2 linked regions of the Caenorhabditis elegans genome follow. The protein of the gene in region 1 interacts with the protein of each later gene in a pairwise test. Each region holds a gene or a part of one and is shown on either strand. Other genes may lie near its edges.

Region 1 (8,606 bases):
ATTGCGATTCGCCCACGATTGATACAGAAGTGGTTTGCAATGATTCTTGGTTGAGATCAACAATCACGACAGTCTCAATTTTCTCGAAAATGACAGCGATTTTCTGAAAGCATACAAACTGCGTTTTAGTATTGTACAATCTTAACACACCTTGTGCTGCAAATTGATTGAAATCTTGCGAATGGGAGCGTCAAACTGGGACAGATCAAGCGTTCTACGAGGAGCTGAACATTTTGCGATGCTCCAGTTATATAGGTTCTTGTCTCCTCCTGAAGTTCTAAGCATTTGAAAGAAAGGAACTGAGATAACTTACCAGAACTCCATAGTGAGTCATTATCCTGCACCGCCAATGTTTTGACATACTCGGTGTGACCAAGGAAGAATGAGTCAATGACAGAGGTCTGAGAACACTATTTCGGGTGAATAATGGTTTTTAAAAGTAAACCAACCGCTGGGTATCTAAGCGCTCGGACTTTTTCATCTCTATCCGCCATCAGCAGTCTCTTTCCATCAGGACTGAATGCAACATCAAGAATCATAGAGATAGCTCCAGCCATTTCAATAGCACTTCCATTTAGAACCGAAAATCTGTGAACGTCTCCAGCACGATCGCCAACAACCACATAAGCATCTTCTTTATCGAAAACAATTGCTGTTGGAGCTTTTGGAACGACAGAGGTAACAATGTGTTCCGCTGTGACGATATCTCCTTTGTCATTAACGAAATACTCGAAGACGTGGATTTGTTTCTCGTTTGTTCCAACTGCAACAAGTCGCCGGCCATGAGTGGTCAAGACATTGGAATGAGCGAGACACAGAATCTACAAAAAAATACTATCAGAACAAACGTTTCGATTATTTTAGGACTGACCACTCTTTTCTCAACAGCTTTCAATTCTTTTTCAATATCGAAGGAAGGCTTTTGAATCCGTTCCGGGTTGATTTTTGACCAACTAATGAAGTTCTGAAATAAAATTTTGAAATTTCAAGTTTAAAAATATGAAACACCTTCAATTCAGTTTCTTCGCTGATTCTGAACGTACGGATCAAGTCTCCAGATGCAATGAAAACTCGTTCCCGAAATGCTGTGATGAACGACATGTCAGTCTGAATATCGAGTTATTAATATTGAATTTTCTGAACATTAAAACTATAACAAAAGGTATCGAAGAGCGCATGACTCATTGCTTGACTATTTAAAAAACAATGAAATAAATACAAATAAATACTAGCTTTCTTTTGACATTCGATAAATAAAGAAATATTGCACCCAATATTATCGACTATTCTAAATACAATTATTATTTAAATGTACAAGCGATTGGGGAGTTGGGACAAAGAGAAAGGTGAACAATTGAGTTGATAATTGAGATGGTTGCCTAGAAGGTATCACGGCCATGCGGAATGTTGAAGTATCTGAAACTTTGCGATGAAAAGATTTACTGGAAATGAGAAACTTACTGTGGATCGAGAGGAGTAACGTGATTTGCGTCGAAATCAATCAAATAGTGATTACATGCATCAAAAAGACGTTTTCTTTGTGTTGATTCTTCGCGCAAGCTGACTCCCGAATGCATGAGCCGTTCGGTTGGAGTCATGTCGAGCCAACGATCTACTTGTGGTTCCAAATTTTGAATCAACTCGGGATGTCTGTCTTTGATGATCGATTTGAGTAGCCAATTGATTCGATTTGTTGCTCGTCGAACATTCTCGGGTTGATCATCAACTGCAGTGGTCAGAATCTCTTCTTGGAGGCGTCGAATCAGACGGATTGGTCCCTTGTAACGAGCGAGCTGAAAATTAGGAAATTAAAGTAGTCTTTCGAGCAGTTTTAAAGGTTTCTTAACATACCAATTTATCGATTTGAAGATTCATATGGTTTCTGATCGCATGCTCCACAATGGTAGAGAAGAACTGAAATGGAAACATTAACCTCAATTTTTTTTTTCAATTTTGTACCGTCGGCATTCTGAACAGCGCAAGTGGCAGTAAGTCGTCGAATGTGGCATCCAATACAACTGCTTTTACATCTAAAAATTATATATTAGAAGATTTTTTATAGCATAAATTATACTCACTTGGATAGTTGGACGCGAGCCAAGCAACTGGGAACCCGCCAATCGACCACCCAAAAAGAACAATATTCTCCTGGCGATATCCAAGAACTTGAATAGCGTACTGCATTACTGCGTCTGCAGCTGCTAAAGTGTTTACTGCGTATGGAAGTCCCGTACTTTCTCCAAAGCCCGGAAGATTGAAGCCGAGAGTCTGAAAAGTCGAATAAATGAAATTGGCTACGAAAAAGATTGTTTTACCGTATATCCCAATTGAGCAGGAGAGTTCATTACTCCAATTTCATAAAATCCGGCATTTCCTTCAAAACATATTATAAGATCCTGTGATTGATTAGTGCCTCTCAAAAACATCGCATCGAGAGTGTCTCCTTCTGACGATTTGATCCACAAACGCTGCCCATTCTGAAAATAATGCAAATTAATTAGTTGCAAAATTATGTTTTACCGTTTTTTCTTCAAAAGCTAGAAATCTACTTTCAGGAAAGAAATTTTGTTTTTTTTTCAGAATTTGACACAAGGATTAAAACACTGTATTCATTTACAACCATAATCTACTATTATACTGTCCCGTTTACAGCCTGCCATAAATTCAGAACCACTGACACGGTGGCCGAGTGGTTTAAGGCATGAGACACTTGATCTCAAACGGTTCTAACCGAACGCAGGTTCGAATCCTGCCCGTGTCAGAATTTTTTATTGAACTTAAATTGTTTTTGTTTTTAAAGTCGTTCACCTTATTTTGAACCAGAAGCTTTCGTGCAGCATTCAAATTTGGTCTCATCATGTATTTCAAAAGTGCCATTGATCCGGGATAAATCAAATGTCTTCCAAATGCGTGAATCGCCCAACTCGCCAGACCGCGAGTAACAACGCCGGCTTCAGCGACTTCTGGTTTTAAATGCCATAAATCCGAATTGGGGCGAGCTACAAAATCGGGAATCACGTCTAGAAGTTCAAAGTCGTACTTCTTTAGTGCTGCATGACTGTTGTCATCCTTCTGAAACGTAATTAATACATAAACATAAAGATTTCAACTGATACCTTGTTTTTTTCGTTTTCCCAAATATCTAAAAATCTCGAGTTTGTTTCGTCAAAGAGCCGACCGAATGTTCTTGCTCCATAACCGATTAGTGTTAAATATCCGGCATATTTCAGAATTGTCAGCATTCCAGCTGGTGTGAGCCAGTCTCGACTGTACAAGTAACATAATATTACGGGGCCAAAAGCTAATGAACTGGCAATGTAGTAAATTCCTAAAAACAAGTTTGGAAAAGGTTATGCTTCATAAAATAATATAACCTGCAGAAAACGATATGACGGTGTTTCCGAGATTTTCCAGTGTTGGTTCCTGTCGATTGGGTTGTCCAAAAATTCCATAAAGCCGTGGTCCCGAAATTTGCGTCCAGAAGGACGGCATTTCGACTAGTTGCTACTGAAATATGTAAATAGGGAAAACACAATTAACAAAAGACAATATAAAATGTAATGGACATATATACCATTTTTCAGAATTTTGATACAAAAAAAAACATCAATTGAGAAAAACAATTATATTAAATCAAACATGTACAAATAAGTTATTCCGTAATAAAAACTTCAAGTAGAAACTTCAGTTTTTTCATCATCCGTTTCTTCCTTCTCAACTTTATCTTTGTCTTCGACTTCTGTGTTTTGTTTTCCTTCAGATTCGTTATCAGATCCTGATCCTGAGTCTGAATCCGAATCATCTGATGAGCTCTCGTCAGATTCATTATTCTTTTTTGTCAATTTTCTCTTCTTAGCAGCAGCTTTTTGCCTTAATCGCTTTGCTCTCTTCTTCGCGGTTTTTGATTCTTCTTCCTTTTCAAGTTTTTCTACTTTGTGACGGTAGGCATCGTCCAATTCTTCTTTTTTTGCTACCGCATCAATGTAGTCAAGTCGATTTTGTTCTTTTCGTCGGTTGTTTCTGAAATTTGGATATGAAAAGACAAATTAAAAGTATAACTTTTCTAACCTGTAAATATGAAATTCAGCACTTCCGGCAGCAGCTGAAGAACCAACGACATTTCTCACGAATTCCAAAGGTTCTTTTGGCGCTCTCAGTGTCTCCTTTTTAATTGGAATTGGAGCGGGCTTGTCCTGCAATTATAACAAATAAAATTATTATATTTTTAGCTAAATTAAACTTACAATATTTTGTTGCAATCTTGCCAGTCTCATCCGAATTAAATCGGTTGCGGAATTTGCTCGGCGCTCTTCTTCTGTGATTGGATCATCTCGTGGCATAATGAGATTTTCTAGAAATTATCAAAAAAGAAATTAGTGCAAAAAAACCGGGAAATTTTATGTTTTATCCGCGAAAAATCGAAAAGATTGGCACGCTAAACTACACGCGCTGCGTCATCTCGGAGCGTCGTACTGCAGTTTCAAAATCCAATTTTTTTGTTTTGGCTTTCTTAGAAGCTACTTCTAGATAGGAAGTTGCTTATTATCAGTTAAAATATAAAGTTTATCAAATAATTATATTTACTTTTCATTATTCTATAGTTTCAAAGTCAACTTCAATTCATCATCAGCTTACAGAATGGAAATCAATAACGGGGCTCAACCAGAAAATGCGGCTGTTTCGATTCCGTCACGGTAAGTTCTGACGACCTCTTTTTCTCCAAAATTTTTAATTTTCAGCTCACCGTCTGGGAAGTCCGAAAAACGAAAAAGTCCAAGCATTGTTTCCGGCTGCCGTACGGTTATGAATGAGAGAAGCTTTACCAATTATTGGTCCGTTGAGCGCTTCACGGTACAATTAGAGCTTCACAATCCAGCAGAATTCATGCTGGCACCGTAAGCAAATATAATATGTTTAAGATTAATCAGTTTTACATTTTTCAGTAAATTTGGAGATGGGGATTATGAGTTTGTCATGAAACTATTTCCGAATGGGAAAGACGAAGAAACCGCCGGATATCTTTCACTTTTTCTGCTCATAAATAGTACGTAGAGAACTTTAAGTGTTTCATTTTTCGTTATTAAATGTTATTTACGAAGATTCTTTCCAGAATGCCCTAATCCTCGTCTCCGTTTCCGTGTCAGCTTTACAGTCGAAACAGCAGACGGTCCAAGAAGTTGCCATCTCAATAAGAATCTTGTTACGATCAATCGTAGTGGTATCGTGACTGCAAGCAAGTTCTTTTCATTAGACATTCTCAGGGTAAGTCGGATTGTTTTTTTTTCAACTTCAATTTTTTATTTTAATGCAGAGTGCCATGAATGTCTACATTCCTAACGATATTCTGACAATTGGATGTGAGCTCACAATTTTCGGTGAATGTACGACACAGATCTCAAGCCTGTTCAAGCCATATCAAAGAACTCACAGCGCTTCTTCAACATCTCGATCCCTATCGTCTCCCAATACAAAATGTTTGAAGATCGACGAATCGTCTGCGCATGGTTAGTGATTTTAACAGCTTGGAAATTTTCATTGTTTAATCACTTTCAGATGCATTCACAGAGTTTCTATCCACCGGAGAATTTAGCGACTTCATTATAGTCGCTTCGTGTGGTCGTGAATTCCCAACTCATATGTGCATCCTGGCAGCACGTTCTGAATACTTCAAAGTTCTCCTGAGAAATCATTCAACCAAGGAGTTTATGTCCAAGCGTCTCCAGTTTGATGACATTTCTGCTCGCACTCTTGACGTCTTGCTTCGCCATATGTACGCGTCCGCTGCTGGTCGAGTTGTGAAGCTCGAAGAGGATCAACTAACCGAGGACCTTATATCTGCAATGGATAGGTTGGATATTTTTACATTAAAACATTCTAGTATTGTTTTTTATCAGACTAATGATAAATTCATTGCGTGATGAAGTGGCTCGGCTCATCGGTTCAAAAGTGACTGTCGATAATGTGCTCACTCGTATTAGTATGGCTGCAGAGCTAAGACTTGATGATACCTATGACGTGCTTCTGGATTTCTTCTCGAATCATAAACATGAGTGCATGAAGTTAACTGTAAGTTAATGAGAGAATGAAATTACGTCGAACAAGCAACCAATTTCAGGCATGGGACGAACTTGAATCTGCAAAACCACCATTGGCCATCAAAATACTTCGAGATGCTTTCTCAAATACTGATTCACCTTCGACCACATCAATGGACAGCCGAATCATTGACCGCATCACTCTAACTTAATTGAATCTTTGTAAATCTCATGTCAAATTGATTATGTGTTTGCTCTTCAATCATATCTATTCATCCTTCTGTTTGCTGGTATTTTACCTTTTTCATCAGTTGATCTCAAATTTTTGAAACAAAACGCTTGAATTCAAGAATTCAATTTCGGGTGTAATTTTTATTTGGTTTTATTGATTTGATTTGTTTTATAAACACAACAATTTGATTCTAAAATAAAATTTTTGAAGCCGCTTTCTTTTTGTATCCTCCTTGGACTTTCTCCACAAATATTGGTAGTAGCTTCAGATCTTCCAACGATAAATTAGTAAAGGATAACAACGAACTCGAATGCCTATGAATGTAGTCTTTATCATCATGATAATCATTTGGCATTGTTTTCATTTCATCAACTTGAAAGTGCCTTTTTATGGCAAATATCCTAAATAAGATAAATCAATTTTTATTTGAAATTCAAGTCAACCTGCTCTTTTTGGATCTGTCCACTGAAATAGTAATGGGTGGAATTGACATACACGTTGTCAGCCATTCCTCCACATTTTCAGCATTTTCAGAACAATTTTCTTCTTCAAGATCATAGAATGTGTTTAGCGCAGAACGAGAGAATATCAGCACTGGTTTGTGTTGAATCTGAAACTTTGTGTTATATTGAATTACTGATATTATGTGGACGCAAAAAATCTGTGGAGCGCGCTTCTACATACGTACATTTGAAAACGATCCGCCTCCCAGTCATGGGTCTCGTTAGGTATTTGGGCACAAAAACCATTTATTCAAAGTTTTTCAACTGGTTTCGCCAATTTTTCGCTTTCTTTGTTATTTTGTAATTCTCTTTATGACGAAATTTCTAAAGTACCATGAGAAAACCTAACTCACTTTTCAACTCCCATGCACATTTAAAATATCATTTCATAAGAAACGGAACATAGCATTCTATGATATGCCAAAAAAGGACGAAAAATGCTTGAAAGTAGACGAAAACAGCAAAACTAATTGAAAACATTTGAATTTGCGGGTTTTCCGGCAAATACCTAACGAGACCCACTGTTTGGGGGTGGAGCGTTTTCAAATCGCCATGGAGCGCGTTTCCACGTCTATTTGAAAAGAAAGGGGAATTTTGTTGCGTCCTCATAATAATACAGTAATTGAAATTTACATCAGCGTGAAAATCCCGGAGAATTGTGTATATCGGAAGATGCGAATCGAATTTCGACAGTTCTTTTATGAGACGTTCAACGAAAAAATAATTATTATCAAATGCAAACATGTACCATTGAGCTTGTTGGGGAAGGCGTCGTGTATGAAGAATCATTTTTCTGAAAAAAAAAACATTATTATACATCTTACAGAGTTTCGAACTTGCTCAGTGGAGCGCAGTTGCGCGCACCATTGGAAAATTTATTAGAATTTTTAGTTAAAAAATTAGAAAAACCTTCAGGCTAATTCATTTAAGTCAAAAACTCACGAAAAATGATGAATTAGCCATTGCTCGGTTGGTTTTTGCCAATTGACATAATGATGTGGGACTACAAAATAATCATCAACCTTGTCACACCAGCTCTTTTTACATAAATTTGTCTGAAATTTACGTATCAAAAACATTAACTCATTGTTTAAAGTATTAACTCACCATCTCAGGACCCGTAGATTGTAAAGTTAGAAATAAAGATGTATTGTGATAAAACTTGAATTTTCTGTAAATTAAAACAATTATTTATAGTTAACTACTATAGTTTTGATTTTAATGAAAAATATGAAATTACTTTGCTTCGTATTCCGCGCTCCATGCGAGTTTATCGTTTCTCATAAGTTTCCCAACTCGGAATAGTAACAAGCCCAATAAAAATATAGATTTTGGTTCCATCATTCAGATATCTTCTCTAATAAGTGCATAATTTAACTGGAAAACAGCAAAAAACCGTCAAATCAAAACCGATGATCAAGTAAAGAATCAAAATGTGGCAGCTTGAATCTGACAAAAAAGGCGAAAAACAAGAATTGGGCAATTGATTGAATTGTACGTGTGTAACGGTAGAAGAATGCGGGGCAGCGGAAAAGTCGCCTATTTCGATGGAACATGTCAGATAAGAGCTGTTTGGTCGGTGCGCACGAAAAAAGATTTTGGGATTGCGCTAATGCCGAGGATGCAGTGCGTGAGAAACGATTCCGCCAGACGTTGAGGAAAAAATGAGGAAAAACCTGAATTTGAGTCGAGATACACTTTTTGAAAATAGCGGATCACAATTTGTAGGATAGAGAATTCTTGCTTTCGTGAGTGAAAGCAGCAAACCGAAATGAAATAAAGATTACGAAAACGTTTTCTATTTTCCCAAACCATCTGAAATAAAAATTCCACCAG
Region 2 (9,210 bases), on another chromosome or scaffold:
GAATACATAGTTTGTGATCCATTGATTATTGTTTGTGGAGACGGTAAATTTTGCTTCTTTTGTCCCCAAAGTACCAACCATCCAGGATAATATTCCGAATTTACTAGAGGGCCATTCGGTGCAAATTTTCTTTGTAATTTAAAATTGTTTTCGATTTCTTTAGCATCATCAGTTGGACCAAAGTCTACAGTTGGAAATACTCCTTCCACTGTTCCACATTTTAGCAGAGACTCGGCAGAACCATCAGCTGAATAAATTGAATAATTAGATAAAGTGTTCATTTACTCACTTGTGAATAATAGAACATCATCCCCAACGAGTGATCTTGTAAGATCTCGCAAGAATCGAAGATATTGTTGATCGCATGCATCGTAACTACCGTACTCATTTTCAATTTGAAGCATCAGGACAGGTCCACCGTTTTTACGTAAAAGTGGCTTGACTCTTGGAAGAAGAATTTCAAACCAATTCTCGACTTCGCGGGTAAACCTTAAATTATGTGATTGAACATTTTTGTTTAATTTTAACTAACACTCGATCACTACTTCTTTGCTTTGTCACATTTTTGTTGAGAAGCCACCATGGAAGCCCTCCATTTTCCAATTCTCCACAAATATACGGTCCTAAATTTATTTGTTTTTATTTGAAACTGTGAAGGACTTTCAACATACCGACTCTCAAAATTGTCCATAATCCATATTTATGAAAAGCCATCATGGAAAACTCTGCGAAATCGAGAAGTCCAGAAAAGTCATGACTGCAATTATAAATAGTATACGTTGATTGTTTAAATCTTTTGAAAATGTTCTTACTTTCCTTCTTCAAGCTCGTGCATATTCCATGGAATATAATACTGAATTGCATTAAATCCAAGAGCTCGAACTTTCCCGAGACGTTCGTCCCACCGATCACGAGGAATTCGGAAATAATGAATGGATCCAGAGATGTAACGAAATGGAAGACCATCGAGTAGAAATTGGTTCTTTGATTCGTCAATAAGAAATGAAGGTATATTTCTTAAAATTTGGAATATTACAGATAATGTTAGAAGAAATGTTAGCTGTGTGAAAATGTCTTATATAACTTTGAAGACACATGTTGTGGGTCTTGCCACGCTTTTAAGTTTAAAATTGTCTGCAAGATTTTTTAAATTAATAATTTCGCACTCTAAATCATGTCTAGAGCTACCGAAATTGCAGGTGGAGTATTTCATGTAGAAAACTTTTTGAATCCGTTTCTGAATTGTTAAAATGCCAAATATGACTTTTAAAAAAACATTTGGATTTATAAATTTTTTTTACAAAATATCTCGTGGCGAAAACTACAGTAAGTCTTTAAATGATGATGATCTAAAGAGTTACTGTAGTTTTCGCTACGAAAAAATTTGCGCGTAAAATATGTTGTGCAATACGCATTCTCAGAATTTTGTGTTCCCGTATAATTTGGATGTAGGCAGAAACAATTCTAATGAATATTTATTATAATTGTATTCCAACTTTTAAATTTGAACATCGTATGGTTTCGAACCTGTGTCAATGATTGGAATTTATCAAAAAATCTGCATTTTTGCAAAATTTGACATTCTGCCAAAACTTTGACTGAAAATTTATGATTTAAAAAAAAGATAGTCTGTCCTTACGGAACCCGGATCTTTTGAATATTTACCTATCACCAATTTTTGGAATATTCCAATTGCCGTAACTTGTTCTGACGATACCTTCAGATTGAATGCAAAAATTTAAAAACAGAAATATACAGCTTTTCCATAATTCCATCTGAAATCTATACAAAATTTTAACATTTAATGAAGAAAAGAGTGCATCTGAAAACAATGATAACGAAGAAAACCCAATTGATTCGAATGATAAACAAAAGAAAATTAACAAATATAAACTTTTCTTGAGAACATTGGAGAAACGAGAAAGACAAACAAAACTCAGAATATCTCTTTTCTTGTCTGAATTAGAAAGAAGAGGTGTCACTTTTCCACCCGACATTTCAATCATTTTGTCAACTGTCCTTCGGCCCATCGACTCGTTCGCTGTAAACCACATTTTTTGTAAACAAATGAATCTTATTGGGACGGATCGGATTTATTATAAAACACATGTGTAAGAGAGAATCAGACTGACAAAAGTTCGGAGATTAGAATTACATTTTTTCGAAATTTCAGAAGCAAAATAACATTTAAAGGGATGAACAGAAGAGATCAGAATTTTATTCTTTTAAAAACGTTGGAATCCAGCGTTGTTTCCGAATGGTCCATTTTGGTTTCCTGGTCCTCCGAACGGCATTCCTCTTTGTTGATTGAATCCTTCTGAAAATATAAATTTTTTAAATTCGTCTGCTTTCCGAAATAAAACATACGTTGATGTTGCTGCTGTTGTTGTTGTTGTTGCTTATCGTTCTGACTAGCCAGGGCATCATGGATCAGGTTCATTATCCGATTCTGGAGTTGATCGACAAGAGCGGCGTCATTGATCTGTTCCATTTTTCTCCAGATCATCTTTCCGAAAAGTTCATGAATGTTGCTGTTCTTTCCGAATCCAGGAACTTCCATTGATGGTTCTGGTCCAGCAAATGGTTGAGCGCCCTTAAATTCAAATACGATTATTTTAACATCAAAAAGTTGTTTTCTTACGTTCATGTTATTTCCAATAGCTCCTTGTCCCACATTGTTAGCCGATGGTCCATTGTATCCTGAAAATAATATTGTTGAAAAGAGAAAATACATATTGGCTCTCATTGGTAAGAGAGCAGATCTACTAATAAAACTAAAAAACTACAAGGATTTGAATTTTAGACTCGAAAGTAAATGTTGTTTGGGGACACTACTGCGACAATCATCTTTGATTTTCAAATTTTTTAAAAATAAACTTTAAGTCTCGATGGACTATTTATTTAAAAAGAATTCGATGGAAATATCGAAGTTTCTTTTGGGAATTGTGTTAGGAACAAAATTTAGTATCTCCTCAATTTTTATACTTCATTTTTTATTTTCCTAAAAATATTTTTAGCCACGCGGTCTAGAGCCTTTTTTTGAAGTTCGAAATATCTTTTGAGATGTCAGAGTGTCCCCTTTTAACAACAGTAATTTTTTACGGAGATTATTTGAATCTCTGATAGAAAACAATCAAAAGAAAATAAATGACACTCGTTTCATTATGAAAACATAACTAGACCTGAAGGTGGGGCTCCATTTCTATTGCCGTTGTTCTGCAAACTTCTTGTTCATTACATACATCGAGTGAGGAGTTGTATCATACAACGGAGACAGAGACCGTCATTTACTACTCATGGATTTTGGAACTAGAGACTCTTCCGAAATATATGGTGAATCTAACTAGTAATATTTTAAATCGCAAAAAAAAAGTTTCACTTTACGGTGAATGCAAATTTTGTTTTTCTTTTCAATTTAACAATATAACAAAAAAATTTGAAAGAAAACATCGAGCACTTGCTCTTTTTGGAAATTGAAAAGTAAATTTTTTGAATTAATACATCTGAAATTAACAAAAATGGAGAACTGTTTTTTTTTCATTTGATGATTAGAGCCAAGAAACCGATATGCCTGAAGAATGTGGTATAAAAAGGATCAAAAGATCCGAGAGCATTTTTACTCTTATTGAGCAACACGAATTAAGAATTCATTGAGCCAGTCACCACCGTCATTTACGATTCTTCTCCATTCTCTAAAACATTTCTTTAAAGCCCTAATCAAGAAAACCTGTACGTCGGAAAGAATCTTGAAGTCCTATGTCAAAGCAAGACTCTTTACTGCGACCAGAAATGGACGAATTCGTCAAAATGTTGTGAAAAATTATTAAATTTCTGAATTCAGCAGAAATATCGCCCAATAGTAATATAATCAAATTTTATTTTTAATCATCTTCTGGTAACTTATCTGATCATTTTGATCGCTATATATTTAGGTCTAACTTAGAGAATCCGGTGGGCTGGCTCAAGATTTGAAGAAACTGATATAAAGCGTCCAAGACATTGCGAAGAACAGGAGAAACAAGGATTTTCCTCAAAAATACCTTTCCACTGCCATTACGACGATTTTGTCCGTTGAAGAAGTTCATGTTTCCATTCGGTGGGCCCATGAATCCTGGTCCTCCTGGTCCTCCTGGTCCCATTGGGCCGAAGGGTGGAACCATTTGCATCATTGGAGGCTGGTGATGTTGGCGATTTTGGTTGCGATTTCCTCCATTCTGGTTCTTATTATTTTTGTTGTTTTGCTGAAAAAAAACAATTTAATTTTTTAGAACGAGTGAATCGAAATATAATCGTGAAAACTTGATATTAGTGAAGTTAAATGAGAAAGTGCTTACATTATTTCCTTTTTTCTGGTTGTTGCTGTTGTTTCCAGCTTTCTTGTTGTTATTATTAGTTGTAGGCTGTCTCTTGATTGGCTTTCCATTCGCATCAACTCCCATTCCAGATGAACCCATTTCGACGAAGTTTCTGTAAAAAAAAAAATAATATTTAATGAGTAAAAAGCGACAAAACGAGAAGAAATAAAGAAATAAAGAAATAAATGTAAAAGGAAAGACGTGTGGCTGGTTATTTAATCACGAGACAGCGTTCGTTCAGTGTTCTCCACAGCGGCGATCGATACGGAACGAGTAAAAAGAGTACGCATCAGGTGGAGGGCGCAGATATCGCTGCGAGACCTGCAGTCGGTAGAATTGGTCGCCCCTTTAAATGGAAATTGAAAGGAGACACCTCTTCTCGTTGAGAAATACGAAGTGGGCGATATCGAGATATGGGGAAATAGACATCAAAAAATAGATTTATAATATTGATTTCAAAATGGAACTTTTAATATTTTTTCCCAAAACCCAGAATTTATCGTCGTATCCAATGAAAAATTGCTCTCAACTGTAAAGTTAAAACTCGACCATGCACATATTTCCACTCTAGCGATTCTTAAGACATTATCGAGGTCGCATTTATATTTTAAAATATAATGAATGTTTTCAAAGCGGAAAGTGCTAGAAAAAGCAAAGGATTACTCCAATATGTATCTAAACGATAGAAAAGCTCACTTTTCCGTTCTACCCAATTGGTGGTGTCTCTTTACGAAAAACCATATATATAGAGAGAGTTGTGAGGGGCTTTTCTATGAACGGAAAAAAGTGAACAAACATGTTTAAACAAAGAAAAAACCATGGTGAGGTCAAAATGTAGATAAGGAATGAGACAATGTATATTTGGCTTAAGTGTAGAACTTGATCTCAATAAAAAACACATAAGTCAAACAAAGATAAAGATACTTTTAAAAAAAATATATATATTCGAAAGCAAACAAAAATTAACGGCAAAATTCGGTTAAATACATTTTAAGGTACTCACGTGGTGTCAGAGTGTCCCATTTCGATTTGTTCTACTTAGACCTACTAGAATTGCGTGCGTGAATTTAGACACTATCTCCTCAACTGATTTCGCATGATTAAGAACGTGCTGATGTCCCATTGTTTGTAGATCAAACCGTTATGGGACAATCTAACAGCGAAAATTTATAAAATTATTGTTGTATGTTATTCTTTGGAGGCATATTTTTAATGGAAAAAAGGAAAATATCTAGAAGTTTTTAGTCAACCTTGCACATTCTTTCTGATATTCGACTTGATGAGGTCTTCATCTTACTGATTTGATGATGTTACATAATAAGAACTATTTTTATAAAAATTACATACAATAACATTCAACAATAATTTTATAAATTTTCCAAAAGAAGTAAACACATGTTCTCATGCATTCCGCCATCTTTTTCAAAAACTCTGACTCCGGCTCTGTACCGTGTGAGCACTTGAAATCATACGGAGCAGACAATGAGTGCTAATGTGATATGCAGAGATTTAGAGATATGTTAACAGGACAAGCGAGACAATCCTCGCAACACACCCATCACTTTTTGTTCACTGATAAAGTTTTGTTGTATAGGTGTTCGCACTGCGAATCCCTTTTTAAGATTCAAATTTTATATCTTTATGGCAGTCTATCACTTTCATTATTGCAGAGACAAGTTTTTTTGCCGATTTTTCGATTTTTGTGCGGAATTGTCTAGTAGTGATAAAAATAATATCTCTTACATGTGGATATTAGTACAATTTTTACAGTCGAAAAGTTAGGAAAACTCAGTTTTCATCTCTCAAATTTTGAAAGTCGATCAAACAATTTTTACTAGTCTTATATTATAGCATCGATTCAATTTTTCGTATTTAAACATTCTAAGGTTTTGAGCCTACGGTAATGTTAGGAATTATTTAAAAATGCAACATTTAAAAAATTGGCAATTTACTAAAACTTGGACTGAACATTTTTAATAATCTAAAAACTATTTGAAGTGTTTTATTATGATATTTGGTTATGACTATTATAAGTGTACTTAGTTAGAAGCCCTATACTCCAGGTCCAAGAAAACAAGTAACATGGCAAAAAGTGAAATGTACTCGTTTTTATAGACATTACTTGTCTAAACGCCACAAATTCTTACTAAACTCCCGCACCTCAAAAAAATACAGTTTTAAAACTTTGTCAAAAGTTGTTGTGAAGTTTCTGAAACCTAAGCTGTTGTGAGCAAAATGTGGCTTGAAGTGTGACAAGAAGTCACCAAAGCGCATAGAATACTGGCCCGTTTTGCCGAGTAAATTATACGAATCATTTAGAAAACTCAAAAATTCTGCAATGAAATTGTGGAACAATTGAACGCTACTCATGTTCCGCGAAACTTTGAGCTTATTCAAATGGAGTATCTAAACATTTTTGTAGATCTAGTAAAAACCGTATTACTGTTTTCACGTTTTCACATTTATGCCAATTGTATCGAACATCCATAAAATCAACACCATATCCCTTTTTTCCAATCAACACCGTAATGTACTCGTCGTCATTTCCCCCTCTTCATAAAAAAGTGCATAGCAAAAATGGTGATCTCATTGGAATTGTATAAATAGTTTGCCTTCATGAAAAAATACAAGTTTTTTGTCTCATTCTGCTGCCAATGGAGATTATGATAAGAAAACAGTTTATTATCAGTCTATGTAAGGAGGAACGTTTGTCCTTCTGTTCTCTCCGTTTGTTTTGTTTCCAACAAGTTTCTTTTGGATAAATGAGAGAAAATGAGAGGGAAAGACCCACCCTTCTCCCTGTCACTTTTTTCGTGTTTCCTTATGATAATGTTAAGATGATGGATAGATTTTTCATTGCTATCGACACTTTTTGCCAACTTTTTTCAATTCGTTTTTTATTGCGCGCCATTCTCGAAACCTATCTACAAGTTAAACTTTATAGTCTATTTATTTCCAAGAATACCAAAACAATTGAAAAAAAAAACTATGATACTGCTGAAAAATTAGGTTTCCATTTTTAACTCAAATTTTAAACTGAAAGGTTCCTAAGACTCAGATTCTGACCTATAGTCTGGCCTGACAGCCTAAGAGTTTAACGCAACTAATTTTTTCTGCAAAGGTGCAAATCTAAATGACTGTTTCGTGTCCTGAATGGTTTCACAAATTTTGCTGCTCAGTAATGGAAATATTAACCTTATATGTTTGAAGTAGGAAAGTTAGTGTAGGCATTTTTTCAAAACATGCTCGATTTAAGGTATCAGCTTCACTCTTGGTCATGGACAATGGAAAGTAGGTATCTGGGAAATTGGAACATGTATGGTCGATTGTGTAATAGGATTATTGCGTCCTGCAGCGCGACCGATCTCTCTTTCTCTCTGTGTTTTGCCTGGCGGGATCCCGACATCAAATTCATCACGCTTCGATGAAACATTTGAACCGCTTCTTCGCTTATTCTGATTTAGGATCTTCCTTGGAAACAGTCAAGGAAACGTTGTCTCCAGAACTTTATGAGAACGTAGAAATCTGATTGATAGTGTAGCTGTAACTCGATTTGAACTTTTTTTTATTCTTGAAATGTGGACTTTACCCAAATTTTAATCAGCTTAGCCCACCTCTGTTCAAGATTATTCATTGTTATCAAAAAGTTATCATTTTCTATATGGCAAAAAATAGTGAAATGAACGTTTTTTTTTGTTTATCAGTCAATCAGCATAATCTCCTCCTGTGCCCTTTGTCCTTTAGTTTCACAAAACTCTATAAAAACGATTCGAATGATTTGATTTCTTAAGTTTACTCAATCTGCTCATTTGTTTTAGAGTTCATGGAATTGTTTTGAAACAACCAGTGAATATGTTCAGAATAATATTATCACTCAAAATTCCTAAATAATTAAATTAATTTTTGTGTATTCTTGATCTTCATAAATTTCCTCTGAAAGCACATACCTTTTTTCTATTGAAAGGGCACAAAAAGAGATATATTCGAATATTGTCTCAAACAAAAATGTTTTTAAAATTATCTTTGTCAACTTTCCACTTCTGAATTTTCATAAACTCTGGAAATATAAAGCTGCCGTAATTTCCTACTAGCATTGCAGCTCACTTTACTTTTACTGCATATATCTTGGTAAACTTGGGTTTTTAATCAACTTCTACACTGTTATCAATACTTTAACAACACTCAAAAATTTAAAATAAAATCAAAGATAAAAAAATATAAGCCGTCATAGTAGATTTGCAAGTCTAATAAGAAAAATACTGTATCTACTATGTATAAAAATATCAAAATAAATTGCCAACAATATAGATACCACGGACTACGTCTCAAACTCGTTCTTTTCCTTTTACCTTCGGAGCTTTTCCGGGAATGCATGTTAAAAAAAAGTGAGCAAATAAAACTAACTGAAAAATACCATAAGAATAAATTGCAAAGGTAAATACCTTGGGAAACCGGTTGGAATGTCTAGTCTGTAATATGTTGTTTTGTCCAGCTTCCCTTATTTTAAAAATATCGTAAAACAAATAGGTTTGAGAACAAGATAGTAGAAAAACTTTTGCTGAGATTACCAAAAAGTTAATGAACTTGACCATCTGATAATAAAATCCCTTCCTATCATCATCAGTTTCTCACACTTTGAAACAATATAATAAATCAACAGCTTCTCCCCCGCCCTTTCTGATTCCGCACTTCTTCATCTCCTACTTCTTGATTCAGCACGGAACACTTTTCCCTTCTACGAATATTTATCACTCGTCCCAAATACTGTCTCTTCTTGTGTCCACCTGCTGCTTTCCTTACTCAAGGTCGTACCGCTCTCCCTTACTTTCCGAATATATATTCATTTGCATGAACA

The links.
Region 2: the proteins of bath-41 (region 1) and pqn-70 interact in a two-hybrid assay, tested with the Caenorhabditis elegans proteins (one study listed by BioGRID).

The regions. Positions count from the first base shown.
Region 1 is NC_003281.10:6,718,290-6,726,895, reverse strand, and holds bath-41 (BTB and MATH domain-containing protein 41), read left to right. Parts: upstream 1-4,637; 5' UTR 4,638-4,638; coding exon 4,639-4,694; intron 4,695-4,739; coding exon 4,740-4,895; intron 4,896-4,943; coding exon 4,944-5,044; intron 5,045-5,110; coding exon 5,111-5,262; intron 5,263-5,311; coding exon 5,312-5,504; intron 5,505-5,553; coding exon 5,554-5,848; intron 5,849-5,894; coding exon 5,895-6,066; intron 6,067-6,115; coding exon 6,116-6,247; 3' UTR 6,248-6,457; downstream 6,458-8,606. Other genes in the region: wdr-4 (tRNA (guanine-N(7)-)-methyltransferase non-catalytic subunit), read right to left, coding at 1-103, 151-269, 314-410, 450-821, 872-964, 1,009-1,101; F37A4.1 (alpha/beta hydrolase), read right to left, coding at 1,380-1,416, 1,462-1,793, 1,852-1,914, 1,960-2,030, 2,079-2,268, 2,316-2,477, 2,809-3,072, 3,117-3,328 and 1 more; F37A4.2 (PRKRIP1 family protein), read right to left, coding at 3,672-4,020, 4,069-4,193, 4,245-4,340; bus-22 (uncharacterized protein), read right to left, coding at 6,458-6,668, 6,711-6,877, 7,404-7,563, 7,713-7,825, 7,878-7,941, 8,011-8,114. UniProt on the Caenorhabditis elegans protein: Probable substrate-specific adapter of an E3 ubiquitin-protein ligase complex which mediates the ubiquitination and subsequent proteasomal degradation of target proteins.
Region 2 is NC_003283.11:11,224,237-11,233,446, forward strand, and holds pqn-70 (Prion-like-(Q/N-rich)-domain-bearing protein), read right to left. Parts: upstream 4,468-9,210; 5' UTR 4,455-4,467; coding exon 4,335-4,454; intron 4,242-4,334; coding exon 4,041-4,241; exon of another isoform or gene 3,217-4,040; coding exon 3,183-3,216; exon of another isoform or gene 2,701-3,182; coding exon 2,642-2,700; intron 2,594-2,641; coding exon 2,368-2,593; intron 2,318-2,367; coding exon 2,226-2,317; 3' UTR 2,080-2,225; downstream 1-2,079. Other genes in the region: bgal-1 (Beta-galactosidase), read right to left, coding at 1-247, 290-489, 533-623, 672-757, 813-1,016, 1,666-1,775.